4 linked regions of the Saccharomyces cerevisiae S288C genome follow. The protein of the gene in region 2 interacts with the protein of the main gene of each other region in a biochemical or structural test. Each region holds a gene or a part of one and is shown on either strand. Other genes may lie near its edges. The genes, in order: RFA1, RFA2, DNA2 and HFM1.

Region 1 (4,202 bases), on a different chromosome or scaffold from region 2:
ATACGAGGATAATTAAGATGCAGTCATCATAGGTTTCTCTTCAAAAGGAGAAAGTTTAAATAGGCAACTGACACTGAAGAGGTATAGTCATGCCTACCGCGATTTCTTTGACACAGAATTGAAAAATTTTGCATTTTTTGGTAATTTCCTAATAATACGAAGTGCAATAATCTCACTTTGATAGGAGCACGTCATGATGGTAATTTCATACTACTGAACGTAAATGTTGAAGGTGAATTTGTAAAGCTTTGTTATTTGAAGCTGTACACCTAAAGGGCGGTAAATTGTTGGGTGTTAGTACCATGCCATTAATTAGAATTTGTTAGCATTTTTATTCATTTGTGCATTATGGGTTCAAATTCATATGACTGAACGTGTAGTTTCATATCCAGTCATCAAGAGATGCTGAACCGCCCTTCAAAAACTTGACGAAATAGAAGTTTTTTTTTTACATTTCTCATATGTTACATAGATTAAATAGTACTTGATTATTTGATACATTAAGCTAACAAAGCCTTGGATAACTCATCGGCAAGATAGTCGGCTTCAGCCCTGTAATTCAAGCTGTGTAGGTTAGCAACGGTATATCTAATTCTGCTTTGATCATTGTATGTATCCTCACGCGCTCTAATCCTAAAGTCATATTCGTTCATTTGGATACTTTGAGTAATTTTTGTGAATTCGTTGGGGTCTTCTTCCTTCAAAGACATTAATGTATTAGCATCAACACCCAATAATTGTTTAGCTTGGTCGTCAAATAAAGTGAGCCATAGTTGATTGGTTTCGTCAATAATTGATATTGTCAAGATGTATCTCCAATTTGGCCTTGCATTATTGGTGTCGCACTTCTCACATCTCCAAGTACCATCAGGCTGTTCCAGAACTTTCTTATTACAATTCTCATTAGAACAGGCAGGATATGCAAAATTATCAACTTTTAAGAAACTTATAGCAGCTTTAACACTAAAAAAGTCACCTTTCTCGCTTCTTCCTAGATTTTCAGCTTGAGCTCTAGCAATAGTAATACGCTGAGCAATGAATTTTGTTAAGCTAGCAGCCGATTGACCACCCATACCGGGTTCTTGCTTTAAAGTGATGAAGTTTGCGTTGCGGCCCTTGGAATCATACCAACCCTTTAAGGCATATGCCTCAGGAATTTCTGGATTCGGAATCAGGGTACTAGAAAATCCCATAGACAAAGATTTGCCACCAAAATCCGTCACACGAACACCTTTAATGGCAGCAACAGAACCTTCAGGAAGGTTGAAATCAAGGGCTTGCTGATTCCATAGGCCAACAGAGATAGAAAACCCAGAGTCGTCAACAATTGTGATGTCACGACGATCGAATTTCTTCCCAGCCCTTGAAGTTAGCTCAAAATGTGGGTTTATAGTTTGGATAATACCGAGGACGTCTACGTTGGAATTTACTTCCTGGTTCTGAATAGCATCTAGTTTGATGAAATTGAAATGGGTTTTCGGAACATTACTTTCATCGAAACATTCTTCTATAACAGTGTCTCTATCCAAATTCAGTTCATAAGGGTGTGTTAGATTAGTAAATTGGGGCTTAGCTGGTTGGAGTTTTGCCTTTGATACATAGTATACTTTGCCTTCTTGTAAAATTTCGTTAAATTTTGTAGCAAAATCATTAAACGCCGTGGCTCGGATTTCTCCAGAGGTATCCAAGAAGTTGACATTGAATAGTTTACCATCACCTCTTTGATTGTGCCACGTTTTAATTTCTCCCTTGTAGGAAACTCTTGCTTTGATAGTCCAAACGTTTTGGTATGGAGACAGTTGTTCGATGGCAAAAATTGGTCTGGTTTTTTGCGAATTAGGGTTTTCATTGGCGAATTTTCTCTCATTTGCATTCAAGTTTGAGTTTGAATGCAGCATATCAGGGACACCAGCATTGCTGGCGTTTGTTTGATTGGCAACATTACCACTGTCAGTTATATCTTCGTCTTTTAAGGTTTCATTTGGATGCTCTGAGAAATAGTTATCCAAAAAAGTACTAGTTTGGTTGACCATATCAGCACGCGACTGGACCAACTCAAAGTCATCTACTAAAAGAACGTATTTCTTTCTTTCCCTGACAATAGCAGGTTCTGCAATTATCACGCGAATGATATCACCCCTTTGTAGTTCCATTGACTGGAACTTGGATGCAGCTTGGTTTCTCAACAGAGCCTTCATATGGTAAATACCATCGGAAATCATGATCAAATTCTTTCTGTTGCTGTTAGCCCCATCAGATTTCCTGGTGTTATAAACTTGATAAACGCCACCGGTGGGATTATCGTACCTTTGCTTATTGGTGAAGATGCTATGAAAATCGCCCCTCGAAAGTTGAACACTGCTCATCTCTTGTAAGTATAATCTGGTCTTCTTGCTGGTTTCGCCTTTACCGTAATAAGAAGAGTGAATAGTTTTTGTTTTACGTGTAGAACTTAAAGTGATAACATTTGTTCAAGTAAACCTTTATGTTAGTTCACGCGTCTTTTGTCGCCTCGTCTAATTTTTACGCGTGACATTTTTCCAAGCAGAGATATTTTATTGAGCAGCGAAGAAGAGTTAGAGAATAAGAAAGTGATGCGATAAGAAATCCACCCAATTAGCATAGATCCTTTCGTATATGGCTGAAGAAGGTGGTACGCGCATAGCTATTAACATATATGCAAAAAGAACGGCAAAAGGCGAGGAGGTTTTTATGCCACCGCTAGTATTTGACATAGATCACATCAAACTTCTAAGGAAATGGGGTATTTGTGGTGTGTTATCTGGAACTTTGCCTACTGCAGCACAGCAAAATGTATTTTTGTCGGTACCTTTGAGGCTTATGTTAGAAGATGTGCTGTGGCTGCATTTGAACAATCTTGCCGATGTGAAATTAATAAGACAAGAGGGAGATGAGATTATGGAGGGAATAACATTAGAGCGGGGCGCCAAACTATCTAAAATTGTCAACGATCGTTTGAACAAGTCATTTGAATATCAGAGAAAGTTCAAAAAGGATGAACACATTGCAAAATTAAAGAAAATCGGTAGAATCAATGATAAAACCACAGCTGAAGAATTGCAACGGCTTGATAAATCTAGCAATAATGACCAGCTAATTGAATCTTCTTTGTTCATTGACATTGCTAATACCTCTATGATTTTAAGAGACATACGGAGTGATTCAGACAGCTTATCCCGCGATGATATCAGTGATTTGTTATTTAAGCAGTACAGACAGGCAGGAAAAATGCAGACCTATTTCTTATACAAGGCATTGAGAGATCAAGGGTACGTTTTGTCCCCAGGTGGACGTTTTGGTGGGAAGTTTATAGCATACCCTGGTGATCCTCTTCGTTTCCATTCACATCTGACGATACAAGATGCGATTGATTATCATAATGAGCCGATTGACCTAATATCCATGATAAGTGGTGCAAGACTAGGAACGACTGTGAAAAAACTTTGGGTCATAGGCGGTGTTGCGGAAGAGACAAAGGAAACTCATTTCTTCTCAATAGAATGGGCTGGATTTGGTTAAGCTGGGAATCAGTCATGTATAATTATTTTCTCAGAATTTATGTATTTATAAGGTTTTTCAGAAGCATACATATGTGTAATACAATTTTTAAATTTGCATTGATATTTTGATGCATTCAGCGGGAAAGTAGTTGTTTATCACTAGACATATAATTATGTTTATTTATATTTAGTGGGAGCAAAACAGTTTATTGAATGTTTACCAGAACCGAAAAAAAAGCTCTTCTAAACTGTTGACATCCAGTTCATTTACTTCCACGTGTAGATGTGAAGGAACAAATATTTTAGCATCGTTCATACAAGTAATTATGCTATATTATCGATCCTCGGATTTCAGCTTCCGTTATATCGGATGATTGTTACTCGACCTTTATGTCGTCTTTTTACATCATATATGATAATATGCTAGCAGTTTTAATACAAATTGATCGAAGATAGTTGGTTCTGAGAAATGGGTGAATGTTGAGATAATTGTTGGGATTCCATTGTTGATAAAGGCTATAATATTAGGTATACAGAATATACTAGAAGTTCTCCTCGAGGATATAGGAATCCTCAAAATGGAATCTATATTTCTACATACTAATATTACGATTATTCCTCATTCCGTTTTATATGTTTATATTCATTGATCCTATTACATTATCAATCCTTGCGTTTCAG
Region 2 (3,067 bases):
CTGTAAGGCGTTGCCTAAGAGATAGTTTAATCAAATTGAAGAACCGAACCATCGAATATAGAGATTTAGATGTGGAGGAGTTCTTACAAAATGTGACATTGGAAAATTTTTTCAATGATTTCCAAGATCCAGAGAATTTTAAAGATATTCCAAATATTAACCTCTGGTGTTTCCTGAGAAATTTGTCAAAATTCAAAGCTGTCAAAATAAGAATGCTGAGACATTTTTCATTATGTACACCTAGAACCAGATACGACTGGGAACTATTATTGAAGCCCGTACTGCGTGTAAATGTTCCCATTGAAGTCAGAGATAAGGACGGATTCGTTCTTTATTCTTACGGGCAAAAATAAATGACTTTTTGTAGTGGACTTTATATAGCATATTTATGCAACCAACTTAATATTCATGCATCTTACCCCTTCTTGGAACGGGTTCCATTTTCCACTCTATTTCCGGCAAATTTTGGTACTTACCTAGTAGAAATACACAAACGAATACTAAGAAATGCTAAAAAAATAATCTATATATTTTCATAGGGCAAAGAAGTTATTGTCATCAAAAGTTGGGTAGATAAAACCCTGGTCAGTCAAGGTCGTACAGCAGTTTCTGACGGTAGTTTCATCCAAATTCAAGGATTGCGAGATCAATGGAATGGGAACAGCGAATGAATTAGCGTCTTTGCCCTCACATTGCTTCTTACAAAATTCTAGAATTCTTTGTAACGGACTGGAGCCGGAAGATGTATCGTTATCATCCTTGACAAATAATGATTGCCCATTGTTGTTGGATGCACTCTCCAAAGGTTGTTTCATCATTCCACTGGCTATGGAATGACATTTGATGACTTCCAAGTGATGCGTCAACACTTCATTGAATGAATCTATGGGCTTAATCACCGCATACTGTATATTTTTCTTACCACCAAACTCTTTCAAAGCACCAAAAACTTTTACGTAACCGCCAATTTCAAATTGTTGGGCGACTTGCGAACCATAACCTTTACCAGAAGAGTCATCGTTACCGGCAGCCAAGTCATTTGCATCTTCGCTCCATTTTCTCACTTCTATTTGACCAGTTCCATCCTCAATAGTTAAAAAAATATTTGCAGTATGGTCTGTAATGTTTCTCACCACACCTACAAAACAAACGTGATGAAGTTCTTGGTTATGCGAAACGAAGGGGCCGTCCTGAATATCCTGTTTGGACTCTAGAATTTGTTTGATCGTCACAGGTGTCAAGGTGTTAACTCTAGTGTTAGTTTCCGACTCCCCACTACCTGGGCGGGACTCAGAGTTCTCAAAGCCACCGCCCGTTACTGATGAATATTCGTTATATGGTTGATAGGCTGTATTGGAATCCCATCCATTGTTAGTAATTTTAACATTCGCCAATAAAAATAAAAAAAATGATGCAGAAAAGAGCAAATCCTCCAATTCCTAGCACTAATACATACTTGCCATTATGTATATGCTTAAACTAGCCTGTTCTAGATAGTCGCTATCGATTTTGCCACATTACTTCCACCTTAAGTTGATATAATATTGCTTATTATAAAGGAAAGAACGCGTTTCCTAACGCGTTTCGTATATGGCGATAATTATCTAAGAAACTTCGCATCGTGAAAAAAAAGATGAAAATTGAAAATGGAAGCTCATCGAGGCCAAAGGAATTGCTAAAAAGAAGCTATCAGACCAGGCAAAAAGTAAACTAGTGGTTGCAAAATTATGGAGACGTTATTGCATGCAAAATTATTGCTGTCTGCAGAAGTAGAATCTCTGAAAAGTGGTTCTTTCGACCAGACATATGTGAAAAAGGCTGAACATATCATCAGTGGTGAATCATACCAGCTAGTACAGCAATTTGTGGACAAATTTAAGGGAAAAATTAGTATTTCGGGAGAAATATCCACATCTAGTGTTATTGCTGCTCTAAATGACTTTCTTAACGTTGAGGTTTTCAAAATGGGCCAAGAAAATGAGATGCTATTTTTGGCTATTGCCCTCTTACAGACCTTTATTCAAAATAACTACACCGGCCCAGCAGCTAGGTTGAAAGCAATCTCAGGTTTGTTTGGCAAAACTGGAATTGAAATAGGAGCAGTTAATACAGCCCTTTCCCGCTCATTAGCCATTATGGGCCAGCCTGCCTACGAATTTATGGATGATCCATTGTATTTGGTTTTATCACTATTATTACTTGAAAGGATAACCGGCCAAAAAAGCTTATTTGATGTTACCCCGGATCAAGAAATTCCGCTACCTATTATCTCTGCTGAGTCTACTCCTGGATTATTAGCTGTAGCTTATTGGTGGTGGGCAAGAGCTCTTTTGACGCAATTGTCACTGATTCCAGAACCTTCTGGGTTCCAAGCTAGTGTTGCATCTGCAATATATCAGTCTGCTGACCTTGCATATGCGATAACTAAGGAATTACCGGAGAGTATTCACGAAGATTTCAAAAGAGAACTTTGTGCAATGTACTATCTAGAGAATGTCAAATGTTCATTGGCCATCAACACAGAACATTTGTGCCTGCCATCCTTGACCAGAGCGAAAAAGATAACAAATTTTGAATTTGTAATGACGGGTGCACGCGCTACTAGAACTAAATATCAGCAAAAGGCTCATGCCGGTTTGATCATTCTTGCCAAATCCTTCACATTTCAAAATTTTGCTTTGAGAACGACATCTGCTACACCAGAAACATTTGCTTTAGAGTCCGATCTATTATTGGAGAAGCCTCATTTTGAGTCCATTGCTGATGAACCTCTAGACGAGCAAATTTATAGTAAAAGACAAAAGGTAGACCTAAATGAAGGTTATGAAGAAGATAAACTATTGCCATTGGCACTACGTCAAGAAAATATTCCAAAGTTGTTGCTGGATTTGAACCCTAACGATCAACCTACCCTATCTGATTACGACAACATCCAGTTGCTGTTACGTCTTTACACCATAAAGAACACAACTCCGGCCAAGGATCCTCTTGTGGAAGAAGAACTTACTGCTTTGCTTTCTAGAATATTATATCAAAACGGTGACAAAAATTGGTCTATTTTCGCCCG
Region 3 (6,977 bases), on a different chromosome or scaffold from region 2:
CTTGATTGGCAGCGATGCTGAATCTAACAACAAAATTGCTGCAGAGTACGAGCGTATCGTACCTCAAGTGCTTGATTTGGTACTGTTGGGCTGTGGTCCTGATGGACACACTTGTTCCTTATTCCCTGGAGAAACACATAGGTACTTGCTGAACGAAACAACCAAAAGAGTTGCTTGGTGCCACGATTCTCCCAAGCCTCCAAGTGACAGAATCACCTTCACTCTGCCTGTGTTGAAAGACGCCAAAGCCCTGTGTTTTGTGGCTGAGGGCAGTTCCAAACAAAATATAATGCATGAGATCTTTGACTTGAAAAACGATCAATTGCCAACCGCATTGGTTAACAAATTATTTGGTGAAAAAACATCCTGGTTCGTTAATGAGGAAGCTTTTGGAAAAGTTCAAACGAAAACTTTTTAGAAAAGACACACATGCGAGCTTTCGAACCTCAGATGCTAATATTACGTGTTATATATACCAAACTTTATAAAATGACATAGATATTTTATGCTGTGATAGCTTTCCTGTTATGGAGAAGCTCTTCTTATTCCCCCTGTCAACTTTCATACTCTTGTAGAATTTCCTTTATGATAGGTTTATCGCTTACGAATTTAGACTTTGATGTGATGGGTTTGGCACCTGTTCTTTTTCCACAACCTTTGCGTGCCTCATCAATAGCGTTTGATCTGTCGGGAAATTTGTATTTGTAGAGTGCATCCTTGCACATTGTATAGACCCAATTACGCTCTTCTAACAGGTTCACGAACGATTTTATTTCAGGAACAGAGCCGATTGTACTTTTTGAACCTATAATGATCAGCTTGGATTTGGCCCTTGTCATGGCAACATTGACTCTTCTTAGCTCTTTCAGCAGCGCTCCTCCATTTAATTGAGAATTTCTTCTAACCATGGAAATAATAATGCACTTTTTGTCACGACCTTGAAACTGATCAGCAGTCAAGATCTCTAGCCCGTCATACACATTTTTGTTGAATATCTTCTTCAGTAATCTTAACTGTGCTCTGTATAACGTCATTACACCAATATCTTCGCATGGTACGCCGCTCAATAACATTCCTTCCACACATTGTAGAGTCAATTCTGCCTCCCCGTGATTCGTAATGTTATCCTTTTCGCTTTGTTCGATAATATCCGGGCAGTTATCGTAATTTAAAAATACCACTTTTCTTGTAGGCTCTAGTATATCCTCAAGCCACTGCTTAGAGTTAGCCGATTCATTCCTATAGCGCGACAAGGCCTCAGGCATTGGTAACTCTAAAGATTGAGCAAAAACTTCGTTATTCCCGCATTTTAATTTATTATCATAAATTAGGAAATTAGACAAAGTTACAATATCGCCGCACATACGGTACTGTAAAGTCAGTTCTGCAACGCTTTCCGGATGCTTTTCACAGAAAGTCTTGAACAGTGACTCTTCTAACCCACCTAATCGAGCTGCGTCATTTTTAACTAATGGCGGTAGCTGGTAATGATCTCCTACCATAATAAACCTATTTCCATACCGCAGAGGTCCCAAAGCGACAGGCATTGAAATTTGACTTGCCTCGTCCAAAATCACATAATCAAAATCCTTTTCATTTAGTGTAAATAGTATATCGTTAATTCCTAAGCAGGTGGTAGCAACAACAGAGGTGCTGTTAATTTTGGACAAATAATCGTTATAACTTTTCACTGACGCGTAATTCGGGACATATTTTTGCGTGTCAGGATGGACCTTATGTTTCATTCCCAATCTCATTATGCTAATGTTGGTGTTCCTCAATTTTATTAAAATATTATCCACTGCTGAATGTGTGTATGATGTCAAAAGCACGCGTTTCCCCTCGGAAACGAGAATTTTAATAATTTCTGCGATAACAGTAGTCTTACCAGTCCCTGGCATTCCCAATATCAATGCATAATCTTCGGCCCTCATTACTTTGTCTATTGCTTCTTTTTGATTCAAGTTCAATGTTGTATCCTTTGAAAGCTTATACGGAATGACGGGATCATCATTTGCATCTCTAAACTTAGGTGCTCTATTATCAACTAAAAGTGATCGCAGTATTTCATTACCTCCATCAGATCTCTTTGTCTTCCGACATAATTTACTCCTTTCGTCAACAATATCCACGCCAGGTGAAACAGCTGGTAAAAACAAGCTTAAAAGATTAAATCGCGCTAAAGACAAACTCTGTTGGATATCATTTTTGTCGATTCTATATGTGACCAAATTTTGGGTAGCTATGAGACTGGATTGTTCTAGCTCTGATTCGACCACACTTTGGATGGTAGTGACTCCTTTTTCCTTATCTAGAAGCCTATTGTTTAATAACTTTCGTTTTACGGAGATACCAATTTTAGCGGGATTTATAAATTGTACACGACCTTGGCACAAGCAAAAATGACCCTCCTCATCACTAATAATAACAAAGTCATTAGCAGCAATTTGAGATGATAACATCGACTGCGAGTTATTATCATTTCTACGTCTTGAGAAGCAATATATATACGCTCCCTCTGTTTTTTCATGTTCAACCACCTCTGACACAACCAAGCCAGAAAGGCACCTTCCACTTCTGGATTCTCTTGTGGAACCATCCAATAAGAAAAGTTCTTTATTTACACATGTTATACTTGACTCCTCCTTAGTTATTAGATCATTATATTTTGTAAAAAACTCTTTGTAGTTGGCGAGATTTTGCGACAAATGGTTTGTCAAAATTTCAAACTCACCTTCTACCAGGCCACTTTCTTCTGGTGTCCCGTCCTCTAGTAGCTTATTCAACACCATGCATGATTCTTTGATGAAACATGAATCACAAGATGAATCGCGCAGTAAGGGTGGTAATTCAAACCTTGATTGAGCCTGTCCGAAAACCTCTTGGAGTTGATGCTTAAAATTCATACTCATTCTATTTCGGGACATGAGAATATGTTTAATGGAGTGCAGAACAGAAGGGAACTTTGTCATATTTTTATCCCTCGTAAAATAAAGAAGAAAAAACTCTATCGGTATCTCATAGCGATCATTTAACAGAAGTGTATAAATAAGGCCTTGAACCTCGTATGAAACGCTTCTGGATTTTCCAGTTTTCACTTCTAAAGGAACGATGTGTTTTTTATTGTTTTCAACATTAGCTTCAACAGTTGCATCTAGGAACCCTTTAAGACCATATATTGGAGACCAAATGTTTTCTTCAATATCAATCACATTGGATATAGAAATTGGCTGTGTTCTTCTTGTTCCGGAAATTGATGTGTAGCAACCATAGTTACTTTTCGAAACAAATTTATTGACGAAGTACAAAATGTTTTCAGCATGTTCTTTCATAACTAATTCTTTAACGTACTGGATTTCTTCATTACAAATGATAATTGAAAAAGAATAAGTTTCTAACAAAGAATCCAGCTTTTGTATTATGATTTCCATAGAAATTTTATTATGCGAGAGCTTGTATTTGATTGAGTCTTGCAATAACTCGTGTACGATATTGCCTAAAGTCATGACAAGGCTTGGTTCTCCGCGGGGATCTTGAAATTGCATTTGCAGAATTGAACGTCTTAAACAACCTACTGAACTTCCGACTGATGTTGCCGAAAATAATACATCAGGGTTTAGCACCAACAGGTTGTCGTTAGCCAGTTGAGTTTTAGGGTTTTTGTCGTCAGAAAGAAGCCGTTTGTTTTCAATATTTTTCCCTTCTATAATATGTATTACATCCCCAACCTCAAATTCCAAATATACCCAAGGATGTCGAACGACAACAGAACTTTGTTCGCCTTTGCCGTCTATACACTCTAGTATTTTTTGCGTTCCAATTTTTGGCAATTCAACACTACGTAAGCTTACTATTACTAATCGTACTACGCCGTCTCTTGGAGCACCAGACTTAGCTCTGAGAGCATATGCGGATAAAGTGGAATCAGTAGCAATTCTCAAATCGTCAGAGACCATTTTCTCCACTTTGTCTAAATCTTGTTCAATAGTGTTAGGTTCCACTTGTGTTTGAGTTTCGTTCAATAGTTCAATTAGTGAATCGTCTGAAAATTCGTCTGAAGAATTGTATTCTATTTTTTCATTTTTTTTAATTCTTTGGCAATTACTGTCTTCTTCATTCTCATAAAATGCATTGCCTGTTTTGGCTTGATTGTCTACATTTTCATGATCTTCAATTTCTCCTCTCGATTTTGTGTTATCATTCTTCCCACAACTTTCCTGGGCTCCACTTTTTTGATTGGTGTTGCCTTGAATTGTTATCTGACTCTCACTCTTGCGTTTCTCAACATACTTTTGAGTTAAAATATCTATCAAAGAGTCATCGCCATCGTTGCTATCTCCTGTTGAATCCATTTTATCTACTTCTTCTGCATTCACCTCTGCTTTTTTTTCAACGTTGGGTGCCTTGATGGGTGAAGATGGCAAATCGCTGAATTTCGTTATCGTCGGTTTTATAGTTAAATCGCCCTCTATATCATCGAGAATATCATCTATATTACGGAGAGACTCCCTGGTAGATATTTCTGCTGGTTTAGGACGCACTTGCTCATTTCCATTTTCTTGAATGAGTTGATTTACGTCAGCGTTGGGTACTTGGATATTTGTGAAACTAAGAACAGTTTTCAGTCGATTAGGGACTATAGGTGTAGAAGAGGGATTTTGGACATCTTCGTAGTCATCAGAGTATTCGGCAGCGCTTGTTGTTTTGTCGGACATATCTCGTTGTAAAGGTGAATATTTCCATATTACTTCTTCCATGGGGCCGTCCTCGTCTTGAGTGAAATCGTGATGCCTACTCAAATTAGACATTTCCCGTTTCGGTTTAACTTGTGAATTTGGTAATTGCTTTACGCTCTTGCTAACTGCTTTGTTTATATCTTTTGTTCTTGATGTATTTCGTACTTGTGAAACGGCTATTGACTTTAGGACACTTGCATTGGATACCTTGGTGTTCTTCCCATTTAAGTTATTTATAGGAGCAAAAGCATACTTTTTTTTCCTCTTAGTTTGCTTAGATAATATCGCCTTTGAATCATTTTGTATTATTTCTTTTTCCTCTGTCTTCTTCGCAGGTGAAACAGATATACTCGCAGACCTCTTGTTCTTCTGTGGCGTTCCGGGCATCCTGACGATCTCTTCAATTGTCAGTGTTTGCTTGCACAAAATGAGTACTCACTTGAGTATGTTTTCTCCCAATTTTGTTTTGAGGCTGCCGTAATGATTGTAACTTTATCTTCAAAAATGTAACACAAGTTTTGCCATAAATAGCGTAAGATCAGTTAAATATATATAAGTTCTTTCTGCCGCACGGAATTGCTTTATTGCGCGAAATGAAAACAAGAATATCCAATTTCTATATGAAGGACATAATGGAATGGGAGTGACAACGGACCATTTTCTGTCCGAACGATGTCTATCTCCTTTGGTTACTTTTTGAAATAGAATCACAGTCAATGACCAATTTTCACATACTTATAGCTTTTCATAGTGCGGAAAGCGTAGCTTTGAAGTAGTTCCGAAATTATAATACATCATCGTGTGGTAGGTAGCAACTACGACGGGCATAAAAAATGCGTTGAATATTATACATACAAACTTATACTTACATATATATCTATGAAATAACAGATTCCAGTTTATTGGGGAATATATTCAGCTAAATACATCGATTTGTTCGGCCTCTAACTCTTCGTCCCCCGCCAATTCGCTAAACTGTAAAAAGTGTACTGGACGATGCATCTCATTATAGAATTCCAAAGGAATGCCGTATTTAAAATTGTAGTCACCTTCTTGGTTAAATGCTGTTCCCATAAATGTGTAGTTCCAAACGTTTCCAGATGGAATTATAAAATTACCTGTGATACGGTCAGAGAGAAGTAATTGGGCATGCGTGCTGAAAGTAGGCTCAAACCCTTCCGATAGCACGTTCATTATATCCTTATTTTCTTCACCCCATTGGTAACCTTCGTCGGTCAGGTTATAAGCGCTTAATGATACTGATCCCGGGGTGGAAAAAATTGAAATATCAATGCAGTCTCTTTTCTTATCCGCAAAAAGTTTAGAATGAGTTGCTACTTCAGACGCAGCCATGAATTTAAGTTCTTCTGTCTGGGTATGGATCCAACCGAGTAGTTCAAGGCCTTCAGTATCCGGAAGGTCTCCGATGTCAGGGATGTTGCTTATCTGAACGGATCCTACGTGGCCTAATTGAGGTACCAGCACAACAGTCTTGATTTCTTTCACCTTCGGATGATCTTTTGCTGACATACCATAAATAAAGGCCGCCACCTGGATTTTCACATCGGATATCTCAATAAACTTCTTTAATAAATTTTTTGGAAGGACGTAAACATTCTGTTCCTCCACGAAATCATCAGCCGAAACATAAATGTTTTTTAACCTCAAATATAATAGTGTATTAGCAATTGCAGATTTTCTCCATTCATTCTTTGAACTAAACGTTTGACTTTCGTAATCAGCGGAAGCTACTACAACTATCTCCTCACCTTGCGCATTGATAGTTTTAGTTTTCATAACAGTTGATGCACCTGCAGCTTCTTCGTCGTTCTGCTTTTCTGACCTGGCAGCTTCTAATTCAGCCATTTTTTGTCTCTTCACAGATGGTGCCTTGATATTTTGACCCAATATAATATCTTTAATTTCCGTTTGAGTTAAGGCAGATATATTGACATTGTATTTTCTGCCGTACTCAGTCAAAATCAAATCTCTCATTTGAGATTCGATAGTGATCCATTGTTCATCAGTGAATGAAGGCCATAAATGGTACGATTTGATAGTGATCGTGGGGTCACTGAGTAGAATCATTTTGGCACTTTCCTCGTTCGTCTTTAAAGCTCTTAAAAGTAGTGTAAGTCTAGAAAATGCAGTGTACGATGAAATACGGTCTAACCAATCATCATAAATGTTAAACAGAACCATCTGAGGTTCAGTAGCTTTCATCACAACATCAGAAAGTTT
Region 4 (5,965 bases), on a different chromosome or scaffold from region 2:
AAAACGAATACCATTAGAACCTATGTCGACGATTCCACACAAGTTTCTCGACACGACCTCAGTCTCGGTATCACTATCGCTAAGTGTTGACATTTGTGGCACGCCTACACTTTTCGTTCAAAACAATCCTTAGTAAAGGACACTTCCAAGAGTGAGTTTCTTTTTTAAAAGGTACATATGAATGAATTACTAATCTCACTTCGATTCTTTCAATTGATCTAGGAACTCCGCCGGCAAAGTTATCCTATCTCGGCATTCTGACCCGGATCGCTTATCGCGGTCATGTGACTAATAATTGAAATGATAAATAGCACGATATGTAACAATAGTAATATATCAATTGACAATGTCATCTTGTTCCCTAATAAATAGTAAAGGTTCCAATTGTTTCACCACTGGCTGCATTTTAAAAACAAAGCATTATAAGTAAACTCTCACACATGCTAACTTCTGTTGGGAAGCAATACAAATAACAGAAAGGATTGGGGTAATGAATATCAGTAATGTCTATTGTTCCCGGCCATGCCGCTCATTCAAACTCTATATCGGAACCCAAGAAATCCAGATCACCATTCGGATCACTTATTGAGCTCGCCGCTGTATTACTAGAATAACTATCGGATGATTCAAGATCAATAGGAATTATTTCAGGGCAGTTTTCGGGGCCTGATTTTAGGACTTGTTCACCCGCTTCCATAGACGACATCTGTTGCGATAGATTATAAATTTTTGAAGGAAGTGTATGAACTGTCGCAATATCTGTATTTTCTTCTTGCCACTGCTTTGGTTTACTATTCAGTCTTTTTTCCAGGTGAGGGGTTGTGTTGATATTTTTTGCAAGCAGTGGCTGGCGTATTTGATCAGGTTTTGATACTGGCTTGATTGAGGAGGGTCCTTTTTCTTTTATATACTTTACTGGAATACCCTCTTTACAACATAAATGTCTGCATTGCGTTTTGTCTTTGCAGCTATGAAAACACTCGTAATTGCCATTAGATCTTACTTGGCGGCCATTACTAAAATGTGAAGAAGAGTGTGCCTCCGGGTGAATAACTGCTGCAGATTCAACCGCCTTTGATGATTTCTTCCTTTCATTCAAATAATCTAGTATACTATCATCTGAGGATAGCGATTCTTCTAATCCATCTTTATGGGAAACCCTAGACGTTTTCCCCACTTCTCCGTCACTACTGCTTTCATAGAAGAGGCATTTTTCTAAACTATTTAGATCTTTCCTTATATTTGGTGTCTTCGCAGAGAACTGTGATGCCAAATGATCAGTGGAATATACGATTGTTTTGCCGAGTCCGGCGATTTCTTGGCAATGAATTGAGAATTCTATTTTTTCTAGTTTTGGTGATATTTTTGCTGAAATTCTAAAGCCCCTTGGTGACTGTAGTTTGTTAACTTGCAATCTTCTAAAGTCGATTAACTCTCCTGAGCTTTTCTCGGTTTCGATATCTAATGAGAGGTGCTGACCATGCCAAATGCTAGACTTGAATGTTGCACTAATCTCAACTTTAAATGTCAACCACAACTCTTCATTTTCTATTTTGCAATTTTCTAGTTTTGTTCTAATATTCAGACAAGGCAACAAAGAAATGTCGTTTTTAATTTTTATGCCGTTTCCAATCTTGAGGTTAAGATAGTATTCAATCTGAGTATCTGACAAATGCCCCATTTCTTCTAGATTGGTAATTCCATGTCGTATTAGCCTTCTTACTGAAACTAGTCCAATTGTTTTCAATTGCCTAAGAACCATTGGCGTGTTTTCCCAGCAGTGACCATTCAGGCTTCGCAGTAAGAACAAAGTATTTTTCAGTGATGTTCCATCACTTTTTTCAATAAATGTGTCTACCATGCATTTTAGTAATCTAAAACAATGTCTAAAAACGAGGAATTTATCCTGAACAAGAGTTTGATGTAGTTTAGAAGCGCCTTCGTATGATGGAAATTCTAACCCACCTAACTCATATTGAATCAAAAGAGAAACCTTTTGACTAACCCTGTCAATTATTTGGCTCTGTTTCTTCTCGGTTAAAAATGGATATTTCAAAAGTGGCGATAAATTGATTTCTTTGAACAATTTTTTTTCATTGTGCCTCACCCTCATAACTGAAAACTCTTCAGAAGTGGCCAGTAAATTTAGTATCCCTTGTAATGATAGAAATTTTTTTGCGTTAATGAATTGTTTCATCGACTCAAAGGATATATAATGTCGCGTCATTGCATTTCCGTACGCTGTAGATTTGTACTCCCCATTGCTGATATCGATTATTTTCACTTTTACTAAGGTGTCAAGCAAATACTGACAGAATTGATTTATCTGAGAGTCTTCAACGGAATGAAAACTAACGTATCTGTTCACCTCTTGATATGCAGCTGGATTCTTCCCAAATCTAACGTAAAAGAATGTGTTTCGTAGCCAATTTACTGCAGTTTCAATTGAATATACAGTTTCCAAAGAGGTTTCTGCTGCTAAATGCTCGATCAAATTCAAATGTAATGAACTTTCCAAAACGTCAGTTCCATGAATTAAGTTTTCATATGTTTGCTTCATTTTAGAGTCTGTCATGATTACTGCGCACCCGTGAGTTTCAAATTGAGGTCTTCCTGCCCGCCCAATCATTTGCAGTACATCTAGGTCTGAATACTCTTGGATTTCAGAAGAGTTCCAACTTTTGGTGCCTTTGATAATGACCAAATATGCGGGAAGGTTCACACCAACAGCTAACGTTGAAGTTGAACACAATATATTAATTGAACCTGCAAGAAATTCTTTCTCAACGGCAGTACGGTCTTCTAAAGAAATTCCAGCATGATGGAAAGCGATACCTTGTTGCATACATTCATTTAATATTTTATCGGAGGGATTATGATTACATCTTTTCTTACTTTTTGAAAAAATATGATTATTTAATAAAAATTTTGCTGTTGATATAGTTGAAGCCCTAGTCGGACAAAATATTAGTACGGGACGATTATCGGCATGCTTTTCAATTATTTCAATCAATTTGGAATTATATATAGCATCTTTTTGGAAGTCATTTTTGCAATTGAAGGAGTACCCATAAACAAACTTCGTTAACTGAACTTGCCTGTACGATTCGTCAAAAGAAAGAATATTTGCAGGAAGCTCGTTGTTAGTTTTGAGCCACAATGCTAGGTCTTCTATATTTGGAACTGTTGCACTTAAAGCAACAAACCGAATGTTTTGACACATTGTATTCATCCTTGTCAGAATTACTTCCAAAGATGCTCCTCTTTTCTCCTTTATGGTATGAATCTCATCAACTAGGACAAGTTTGACCAATTCGAATAATCGGCTGTAATCGGACCATCTTCTTGTTAACAAATCCCATTTTTCTGGTGTCGTAATTATTATGTTACATTTTTTAGCCTTTTCAGTTTCCAGAAAAGAGGTATCACTAGTAAGCATACCAACAGAAAGATTCACAAAGGAAGGAAACCAGTTCTTGTACATCTCGTAACATAGAGATTTGGTTGGCGCGATGTATATAATTTTGGTGTTATTGGTATCACTATTTGTTTCCTTTATAAGACGTAATATTGCCAATTCAAATAATACAGTCTTGCCTGATCCGGTTGGTGAAGAAATTATGCAGTTCTCGTTACTCTCATAAATACTAGGAAAAGCCTCTGATTGCATTTTATTAAATTCTGTAAATTTAAAAACCCCTCTGAATGAATCTGGTAATATGGTCGTGCTCAAACATTTCTTCGCTGATTTCCTTATCGTGACCTTCTTAGGTTTCTTCGCCTCTTCATCAGGTGTCTGCTCTAAATCGTGATCAAATAATTTACTAGTTACTTGTGTATCATCTGCTGTTATTGAAAAATTATCGTCTTTGTCGAAGAATTGCAGACCACGGCCCTCAAATATTTCCTCTGTTTCATTTTCATCATCACAATCATCCAGTAAACTGTTATAAGACAAACCTACTTTAAAACTTGGTTGGCGGCTATTTTTCTTATTTCTTTTAAATGTAGCAGACTGGTCGTTAAAGTCAATATCTATAAGTCCTCTGAAATTCTAGTCCAGAAAAACCACTTTTGGTTGCATTTCCGCTAGATAATAAAAGAAAGAGGTAACAATGTTAGTCAAAATACTGTTGTTGTCCGATATGGTGTAAACTGATAAGGGTGTTGCTAAGCTTCGTTACTACTATTTGGAGAGGGTCTACTTCTTTTTCCTGTACCGAGGCGATCAAACTTTGTTTTCATCCTTACGACGCCTCTTAAGTTGTCAAATCCACCTTGAGGTATCAATCATTTTCAATGAAAGGATTTCTTGATAGATGATACTAATAGTCCCGTTTTGTTTATAATCCGGGGCAAAGTCTAAATACCCGCCGAGCCTGCATCCATTCGTGGTACATGATATGTTAAAACTACAACAAGGCATAAAAAAGGGAAGTATATATGATTAATTATATATACGTAAAGGAAAAGATACGTAGTTAAAGATTGTTTTTGTTGGTATCAATGGAATCAAAGATGAGTGAAGAAGAAGCGCATAAAACAGTGGAGGTGGATGACGTCGGGGTTCAATTGGATGAGGGCGATGAAGAAGACCTTTTGGAGTATGATGATGAACTCGTGGAGGAACAACCATCGGACGCCCGTATACGCAACGTGGCAGAGACTTTAATGAAAAGCGAATTGCCCAAAGTCACCGTGGAATATAAAGATACTACATTTCTGTTGTTCACGTCGGATGATAAGAACGAAAGTAACAACCCCATAATATGTGAAAACGCTGCTCTTTATCAGCGACCCATGGGGGAATTCATGGAATCCATTCGTAAATTTATGGGAAATCGTTTTGGCAGGTTGGCTTTTGCTACGAAGGAGTTGGTTTTACAACTGAAAAGCCTCGATTTGACCTTGTTCGAAGATAATGTCTACAACAACCATATTTCATTCAGCGATGTTTATACTATATTTAAAATCCTGAAGGAAAGATCGGAGTCTAATTTTGAAACTGATATACCGACGCACTTGGCTATTGAATTAAGTACAAGGCCAAGATTTGTCTCTCGGTACAACGCCTTGGTTGAATTAACTGAAAGCTCAGCTACGTTGAAAAACATAAAGCCATTTTCTAACGATGAAACGCATCCCTTAATTGTGGATGACAATGACCAATATACACACCAGAATACTTCAGAAGTCATTGTAATGGACATAGATGATGACGTAGGTGAGGATTCTGAAGACTAAAGTAGCCATGTTTAATCAGCACTGATCGTGGGAAATCCTGATGTCCAACGGTGAGTTTCTGATTTCCCAGTCACGGATTCCTTTTGAGAATCTTCTCCCGCGAATAAATTATTGGCTCTGTGTAATATTTAAGGTCGCCTTCTTTTTCGTTTGTATAGTCAGCAGTTAAGTATTCATTAATTTTGGATGATGCAAAGGTCCATATTCGATTTCTGATAGCCCTTCCCCCTTTTTTGTAGCGAATTGTATTATTGTTTTGTATTGTTTTTTCGTCATTTTCTTCAATTTTTTTCAAGTTTTACTTTCGGAAGAATTGCTGAAAGTATTTTCTGTTAGGATATGTAAAATACAAGCATAAAATATGTTTCAGGAGAAGAAAATCACTCAATAGTGCCACACCATTGTTAACGAGCTCGAGTAATTGAATCAATTTAGAGAAATAGATCATATTACAAAAATACTATGATTATTGAACGTTGGGAAGTAAAGTTATCTAAATGTAACCAAAATGTGGGCGGCTATTCTGTTCTGTCAGGAAACTTAAAAGAAAACATCAAACTGGGAAGACGAGCACAAAAATATTTGAAAGAGCTAAGAAATTTGCAACTTAAACCACTGAAAATCGGAGGGTATGAAAACTGCGGCACGATCAATGGTGAAGAGTATTTTTTGGAGGTAATTCACATCACCTCTGGAAGACAAAAAATAGATGTAGCCGTTG

The links.
Region 1: the proteins of RFA2 (region 2) and RFA1 form a complex in vitro, tested with the Saccharomyces cerevisiae proteins (2 studies listed by BioGRID).
Region 3: the proteins of RFA2 (region 2) and DNA2 form a complex in vitro, tested with the Saccharomyces cerevisiae proteins (one study listed by BioGRID).
Region 4: the proteins of RFA2 (region 2) and HFM1 form a complex in vitro, tested with the Saccharomyces cerevisiae proteins (one study listed by BioGRID).

The regions. Positions count from the first base shown.
Region 1 is NC_001133.9:156,254-160,455, forward strand, and holds RFA1 (replication factor A subunit protein RFA1), read right to left. Parts: upstream 2,367-4,202; coding exon 501-2,366; downstream 1-500. Other genes in the region: COMPASS subunit protein SWD1, read left to right, coding at 1-32; tRNA splicing endonuclease subunit SEN34, read left to right, coding at 2,713-3,540. UniProt on the Saccharomyces cerevisiae protein: As part of the replication protein A (RPA/RP-A), a single-stranded DNA-binding heterotrimeric complex, may play an essential role in DNA replication, recombination and repair.
Region 2 is NC_001146.8:46,683-49,749, reverse strand, and holds RFA2 (Rfa2p), read right to left. Parts: upstream 1,464-3,067; coding exon 1,457-1,463; intron 1,349-1,456; coding exon 534-1,348; downstream 1-533. Other genes in the region: putative SCF ubiquitin ligase complex subunit SKP2, read left to right, coding at 1-353; tetratricopeptide repeat-containing protein EMW1, read left to right, coding at 1,728-3,067. UniProt on the Saccharomyces cerevisiae protein: Binds to single-stranded sequences participating in DNA replication in addition to those mediating transcriptional repression (URS1) and activation (CAR1). Stimulates the activity of a cognate strand exchange protein (SEP1).
Region 3 is NC_001140.6:424,056-431,032, forward strand, and holds DNA2 (bifunctional ATP-dependent DNA helicase/ssDNA endodeoxyribonuclease DNA2), read right to left. Parts: upstream 5,124-6,977; coding exon 555-5,123; downstream 1-554. Other genes in the region: 6-phosphogluconolactonase SOL3, read left to right, coding at 1-418; U4/U6-U5 snRNP complex subunit PRP8, read right to left, coding at 5,652-6,977. UniProt on the Saccharomyces cerevisiae protein: Key enzyme involved in DNA replication and DNA repair.
Region 4 is NC_001139.9:27,392-33,356, forward strand, and holds HFM1 (DNA helicase), read right to left. Parts: upstream 4,246-5,965; coding exon 4,188-4,245; intron 4,036-4,187; coding exon 530-4,035; downstream 1-529. Other genes in the region: RTG2 (Rtg2p), read right to left, coding at 1-93; RMR1 (Rmr1p), read left to right, coding at 4,519-5,244; ZIP2 (Zip2p), read left to right, coding at 5,707-5,965. UniProt on the Saccharomyces cerevisiae protein: DNA-dependent ATPase and 3'-5' DNA helicase. Required in the control of double strand break transition and crossover during meiosis. ATPase is slightly better stimulated by single-stranded (ss) than double-stranded (ds)DNA.